2 linked regions of the Oreochromis niloticus genome follow. The protein of the gene in region 2 purifies or fractionates together with the protein of the main gene of each other region. This does not show direct contact. Links are inferred from orthologs where the notes say so. Each region holds a gene or a part of one and is shown on either strand. Other genes may lie near its edges.

The links.
Region 1: the proteins of nhsl3 (region 2) and wasf1 purify together in Homo sapiens (affinity purification with mass spectrometry; 3 studies listed by BioGRID and IntAct, with this or other methods). This does not show direct contact. The link is inferred for Oreochromis niloticus from reciprocal best matches to the Homo sapiens genes NHSL3 and WASF1.

What each region holds. Positions count from the first base shown.
Region 1 is NC_031980.2:10,623,672-10,627,597, reverse strand, and holds the start of wasf1 (wiskott-Aldrich syndrome protein family member 1), read left to right. Parts: upstream 1-1,519; 5' UTR 1,520-1,617; intron 1,618-1,634; exon of another isoform or gene 1,635-2,003; intron 2,004-3,926. Other genes in the region: cdc40 (pre-mRNA-processing factor 17), read right to left, coding at 284-370, 810-1,001.
Region 2 is NC_031985.2:28,095,216-28,099,141, reverse strand, and holds the start of nhsl3 (NHS-like protein 3), read right to left. Parts: upstream 2,858-3,926; 5' UTR 1,913-2,857; coding exon 1,552-1,912; intron 1-1,551. UniProt on the Homo sapiens protein: Able to directly activate the TNF-NFkappaB signaling pathway.

The sequences.
Region 1 (3,926 bases), on a different chromosome or scaffold from region 2:
ATACAATAATACATTCTAAGGGCAAGACTAATTTACCTTTTCCATATTAGAATATTATGTCAGCTGATGAAATGTCTTTTAAGGATGAATAATTGAAATAACTTTCTAATTTCTCTGTGATGTTGCTCATATATGTATCACCTTTATCATTTAGTGCCGTTTAAAAATAATTAAATATATGTATTTCACACAACTGCATAACAAAGTAATCAAATGCCACTCATGTTATATTATCAGTTAACTAACTAGATGTGTAACCCAGCACACAAATATTCAGACTTACCTCGGGTGCAAACATGGTTTCATATGTTGGGTTATAAGTGACTTCTTTCAGAGCAGGGTCCAGGTGTATGCCCGTCTCAACAGCCTCCTAAAATCGGGATTCGAACAATGAGCAAACGAGCTTCTTGATAAATGAGACATGCTCTAGGTTGGTAATTCGCATGTTTTGTTTAACACAATCACAGGTGAGATTTAACTAGTACAGTGTAAGATACATGAAGTTGGACCTTAAGTTACACAGAGATCAATCAGTGTGTATTTTTTTAGAATTAGCTCAGGAGTAATTCTCCGGCCTGCATAAAATTTCCCCAAAGATTACAACACACTTAGCGGAATCTTTCCCGCTTAGTACTACTAGAACAAATCTGTAATTTTAGAAAATAAATAACTTCTAATTACAACACCATATTTCCACAGTAATTTGAATAACCTTTATTATTATGAGCATAACAAGTAAGTAAGCCAGAGTTACTCCCAATAATCTAATTATAAAGTGAGGTTAACGTTAGCTGCTTAGCTTAGCTTACCTTGACAGCGACCTCAGGGGCAGAATTTAAAACAGCCAGAGACATACTGTTCTCCGACTGCAACGGTTTAAGGTGAGCCGTAGCATCCGGATCGACTGGGTTCACTTTTTCAACACTTGTATTAGATTCAGACTCATTTTCTGAATCGGAATCACTGCCGTATGAAACGAGGGAAGCTATGGCTGCAGACATCTTGGATGTTGTGAATGCGGCGGAAGCAGAAGGGCGGTACTTCCGTTATAGAAATGAAGAAAGAATTTATAGATAATTTATTATTCTCTAGAATTAAGAATTTAAAGAGCTATAGCATTGCATCTTATACGTATGACCGGAATTATTAACTTAAAATTATTAATTCATTACATTCATTAAATAATGTATTAATTTATATATTTTGAAGACATTCATAAAACAGATATTTCAGTAGGCTAGAATATTACTCATATACGTATTACTTTGCTAGAATTAGAATTATTACAATTAACATTTTTAGGCAAAACTACCAAAATTATGGCCGCAGTTTGTAAAATGAGACGAAATACTAACAAGGCAGTATTTTGTTTTTCAAAATAAACAGTCAGTATGTTGTTTAATGTGTTGTTGTGAATATATTGATTCACAGTGTGATTTTATTTTCTCTCCAACTGTAATGTTTGAAATAATCAAAATCAGTGTCCCTCCCTGAAATCGATTGGACAGCACAACACCACGGTTTGAGATAATAAGCCAATACCGCGAACGCGCACGAGCCTCCCACGAGTACACATCAGCAGCATGGGACGTTTTCTCGCGCCCCAACAATAGAGTGGTACGTACCATTATTACCGATTTCAATGGGGACGTTTTCTTGTGGATATACGTAATTTCACACTACTTCTCTTAGAAAGAAAACAAATGTCGCATACGGGTAAAATACAAAGTGGTTTTATGACGCGAAACCTGATGTAAGCTTAACCGGACTAGCTTTATTGGCAATTTAATCAACATTTGCCCAGAGAATCCCTTTGGAAAAAAAGTGGCTGGATTCATCTCCGCCGCCGCCTCTTCCAGCAGGAGTACATTTGATTACGGAGACAGTACAACCATGGATCCGACCCGGGGATTTAAATTTTTGGACACGGTGGCACACTCTGCTGCTCAGTAAGGATGGAGAGAAAATAAGAGGGGTTTTTTTTCTTCTTACAAACGTATCAGGTAAATAATTTCTTTTTAAATTTTGCACTGCAGTGCATCATTTAACTGCAAAATGGGACTTTAGTAACGTTATGTTATCGCTATTAGCACAGCAGCAACTTATCGTCATAAAACCGAGTCACCGTGTTGTAACATTAGACTTAAACTGGAGCTGCTCGACTAATAACGGTCTTGGTAATTCAAAACTGCCTGGCCATCACTGACTCCCACGTTTACCCGATGTACAGTTGACAAATGTGGCAATGAGAACAACGCTAGGCTACCAAAGTGGTCAAAATCCCACAAAGTAGCCTACCAGTAGTATTTTTATTTTTGAATGACTAAAGGAGGAATTGGTAATGGGACCGCTGGGTGATAAATTGCAGCTTGCAGCTGCACATCTGCATGAGATCCCGCTGCAGCGTCTTGACATAGTGAGTCTGAAGAATATCACACTAGTGAGAAAAGCAGAGAGCAAATATTTGCAATGCTCCCCAATTAACCCAACGTGGATAAACTAATAAATAAAAAGACGTAGAGTGTGTTTTATTTGTTAGCGAGCTTGTGGAGTGGGCAGTTTGCTACAGTGTGATGAAGGGAACCACGGACACCGGCAGTTAATTTTATAAGAATGCATTGATTTGCCTCTGCGAGGCAGAGGAGGAGGACAGGGGTTGGGGTCTATTCCAGCCAGCTTCGTTTGCAGTCATGGGGGGATGGTAAGCCTTCAGCCCAGTGAAAATCATGCTGTGTGAAATCCGAAACCTTCTTTGTACTACTTCAAGTGCAACAAGAAAAGTGGGCACGAGGGGCATCGTCGCTTTGTGACCGCTGTGCAGTGATCAGCTTTTATATGTAGTGACAGCACGAATATGTGCTTTGATACACAGGAGGCCGGCTAATATGGGCTTTGCACTTCATCAAAGTGAGCATATTTTTTCCACAGCCTGTCCAGTTGAGACAAACTAAGAGTTGGGTCTTTGGATGCTGCAGGTAACTATTGCCTGCTGAGTGGCCAGCAGCATATTTCATGGTTTGCCTCTTTTTAAAATGCAATAGTAAAGGTAAGAACAGCCTGTAGTGACAGTGTGGGTTCAGCTCTGTGGTCGATGATGAATTAATCACCTTTAGAAACATCAGCTGCAGAGCTATTGATAAAAATCCATGTATGCCACTGTGGATGCTGCTTCTGACAGTGGATTAGTGTGCCTCTAATGTGTTAAAATAACAAATACGGGAGCGAGGCAAACTAGGGTTTACATGTGATGTGCAGGAAATTAATAATTATTCCTTTTTCCCCCTAATAAATAGTGAGGTTAAAAAAAAGAAAGAAGCTATTTATCCTAGAAGGCTAGACATCTTGTCCAAATCAACAAATGCAGAGCTCTCTACACTCACATTGCCTTGGCTGTGATTCAGTGAAATGCATAAATAAGACTTAATTCCTTGATTTGATCAGAAGCTGCATTAATAATTAATGCAAATAGAGAAGATGTTGATGCACAGACTCTTTCCAGATGACCTTAAATATTTCCCTGTTATATCAAATTAGCCCACATCAAACACTTTTAATGCTTCTGGGAGATATATATATATATATATATATATATATATATATATATATATATATATATATATATATATATATATATATATATATATATATAACCATTAGTGAGATGCCTGGTAAATTTCTTGACACAAGCTTTATTTGTCAGTATCAGAAATATTTCTGCTCAGGGAAAAAATTTAGGGAAAAAAGACATTTGGCTACAATCAGTGAATACCCACCTAGCTCCACCTGAAAAAGACTTTATGGGCCAAGAAGATCTGTGATGGTCCTGTATGATGACTGGAGCAGAAGAGCTCAACTTCAAGAGAAATACTACTTTAGTCATGTTCTGGTCAACTGTATGTGACCGGAACTGAGGAAGAGTAAAATTT
Region 2 (3,926 bases):
GAACAGGGGTTTAAATGCACCAAGGAGACAGTCATAGAGAACTCGGGACAACTGGAGACATTTAAGGATGCAGGGACTGAAAGAGACAGGGAAGAAGTCTCAGCGTGATGTGTAAAGTTTATCTTGCCTGGCTGGGCAGCTCTCTGGGTGCTCAGCACCCCCAAAGCTCTGATCCTAGAATCGCCCCTGCTACACACTCACAGAACTGGAGTTATATCGAGTACCTACCAATTTGTTTTAGTGGAACATTTTGTTGTGGAACCCTATTGTGTGACAGAACCTTTATTCACACATATTTTAACATCAGAACTACGAATTTTGGCAACAGCATTGATCCAGAATTATTCAGAATTAAAACAATAGTGAGACATCAACTCTTTGCACTATCCCAATGAAAGCAATGGTGTTAGCATAAATACAGACATTTATCAACTTGACTGAGAACTTCTTGCACTTCCAGCTGATAAGAATGTGCGTTTATCTGTGCACCTTTAATGCAGCGCACTTATTAAATCTCCTCATCCAACTTTGGCGTGCAGACATCCCAGTCTGGCCAGGCCCTCGGCAGTAAACTATGGCCTGGCTAATCTCCTGCAGTATCTTGCTTCCTTGTAAACCCTGCAGGGATTACTGCCGATAATCTGTCCGCATGTAAGGATGCTGCAAGAAACCCTGCTGGCAGGACCTCCTGTGTGGGAACTGGACCGAGCTCGCTCTCTCCGCAGGACTGCTTTGCTCAACGTCAAAGGACAGCTAAGGAGCTGATCCCAGCTGACACTGGGTAAGAGGCACCCTGGACAGGTTGCCAGTCCATCACAAGGAAAACAAAAAGAGAGAAAAGCAATAATACAAACCTTTGGCTAACATAGAATCAACTGACCAAACATGCATGTCTTTGGCATGTGGAATAAAATTGGGGCTTCCTGCCTTCTTGGTGTAAACCACAGTGATGGCAGCTACATCTAGGTTTCTGAACCACAAATCCATGAAAACCTGCACAACTGTGTATGAACTGGGAAGTCATTTCCATGGGAAATCAGTCATGCAAGTTTGCTAAAATCTTAGCTGAGCAAGGATCAGCGTGAGGTGTTCCTTTTCCTTCCTTTATCACTCCCACTGGCTCCCAATTAGTCTGGACTACATTTAGTTTAGTCTATAAACTTCACTTGACAACTGTGAGCATCTCATGACAATTACTCACATATGTAACACTGTAACCAGTAGCTACAAATAACCGAAGAAGCAGCCCTCCCTGATACTCTGCCAGACCCCTCCAGGAGGTTTAGGGATTTGGGCTGATTAATACGATTCCCCCCAAAAAAGTCAGTAAAGAGCTTTATCTCATTAGACAGGACCTCCAAATTACCTTCAACACTAATTCTTACACATCGGTGTGTCTGTGTTTGTGAACTGTTGAGATAGATGTCAGTGGAAATTAAAAACAGTACTTGCTTTGCAGGTATATTTAGTATGATAAAAAGCTTGGTTAAACAATCAATCACAGCAAAGTTAAAGAGATTTACTGCAGCCTCCACGTGAGCCGGCACTCACCCTTCTTCTTGAAGACGGACAGCAGAGAGTGGATGCTCTTCCTCAAGTAGACAACCATGCCTACACCAGCGCCATAACAAAACCCAAACTCAGAACGCCAGAGTAAAGCAAAACAGAGTCTAACAAGTCGTCCTTCTGTCAATTTGACCTGCGATTGAGATCCGCATGCCTCGACTGCAGAGCTCGACAGCAGTGATCGCAGGTGCTTCTGCAGAGAGTTGGAGGGACTTGGGAAGGACAAGCGCACAATGAGATCTGCTTTCAGCCCAGCTGCCTTATCCCCGAGTCTGATACCCTCCTCCCTTCCCCCGCTGCTCCCTCTCTCTCTCGTGTCTATTTTGCACACACAGGCTCCCTCCATTGCTATTCCCTCCCCATTGTCAAATGATGAACCCCTCCCGCCAGCAAGACGGCTGTCAAAGTTTGGCTTTCAGGAGGCGACCAGCCCCCACTTCACTCAGTATAGATAGACACGTGCGGAGCTTTGTGCACACACTCCACCAGTGCAAACCCAGTTAAAGCTTCCTTGTGTTAATTAAAACAAAGCTACCCATGAAAAATATTCCAATATAAGAGCTAATTTCTGCATATTCTACTGAAGACTCTACAGCTTGTACTGTAGGTTTCCATATTGACTATCACAAATACAAAAGCTAAAACTACCCGCTTGGTGACTGATATAATCTAAAGTTTTGAAGCGTCTACATCCCTACTGGAAGCCTTCAGCAGTATGCATGTGTCTGACACTGTGTCTCATTATCTAAGGGCTACGGGGGCTGCATTTGACAGTAAAGGTTGTGTCCTCATGCTGAAAAGCTACGCCGTTCCAGTGTTCTGTATGTTTTATTCTCTTATGTCTCCCTGCATCACTTTTTTCCCAGTACCCTCACTCCCCTGCCTGTCTCTGCCAATCTCGCCTCCTTTACATCTTTCTATAGTTCTTCCTTCTTCCTGCCTGCCCCTTTAGCCTTATATCTAACAAAGTCTAATTTGAGTTATAAATAGCTGACAGCGCCTCAGTTCATCATCTGTCTGCGGATGAGTTCCTGCTAATGTTTCCTGACAAACTGCAGAGGGTATGAAATATAACACGGCTTCAGGACAACTCAGTTAATGTGGATTTGGTTCCAAACAAACGATCAGTACTGCATCCTGGGATTGCTTTCCTGCTGGTGAAGATGCAGCACTTTGATTCTCTTGCCCCCTGAATGGGTGTTTTTCCCCAATAACAGGGTCACAGCAGGGGGCTACAGCTGGCCTGCACCAGCTGGAGTGTAGTAATGCAATTACCTTCAATCATTCACCTGCTATCCCTCCACATACAGGAATCCTGGCACTGGTAAAATAAAAGTGGAGCTAAGAAATCTGCACCCCAGTGCCCCGGGGTCAGACTGCCCAGCCCGGGGTGCTGGCGGTGGTTCAGCCTCAGTGTGGTGAGCCGAGGCTGGAATACACAGAGGCGTTCAGGAGCTTTAAACCTGGGAGCCGTGCCAGAGGATTAACTCTGTCACCAGATTAACCTGTCCATCTCCTCACCTTGCGCTCCTGCTCACCTCACCTTTGTCATCTTGCCGTCTTACAAATTTATGCCATGTCACACTTTGCACCACATCTTTGCTCTGCATCTCATCTTCAAGTGTCTGGATGACATCACCCAGGCAACTAATTCAGTCTCATCACTGTCTAATCCATATTAATATCTTACCAATATGAGACAAGAGAGAGCTTACGGGCATATGAAAGGAGGTTTGTTGCAAGTTGCAAACGTTCCTTTTCTTCAGATATAAATCCCCTGCACACCCACTCCCCTCACCACAGACCTTTACTACATGCCAGTTTTGGGGGGTCTCTGGCCCAACATATGCACCCTCCCCCCTGTTGTTAACTAAGACCCCTCATATCAATATTCATTAGAATGCCTAAAGAGACACCATCTGGTCCTGGTGGAGAGGGCAGAGGGGGAGCGAGGGCCTTTGATTCAGTGCACACAACAAACCATTCCACTGCATAAGCTGAACAAAACAGAAAGTTGCAAAAGATGAAATAACGGACACTAAAGTCTTTCTAACTCAGGTTTACAAATCAGTTCAAGGTGTCAGTTCAAAAGATGGAAAAAAAGCCAAATATTTACTTGTAAAGTACTAAGTAGCCTACTTCCTTCAGCTCTTTTAAATCAACTGGTGTGCCTTTTAGGGGACAATCAGAGGTTGTTTTACAGCCTTGTCTTTGTGAGTCTAAAGATAATATCATAAATCACCAGTGCCAGACTGTTGGGCTTGTTTGCAGGTCAAATAGTCTGTGAAAGAATAATCAGAGCTCAGACAGCCAACAAAACCTGCTTGTTAAAAGGTCACAGGCACAAAAATACAGCCCGT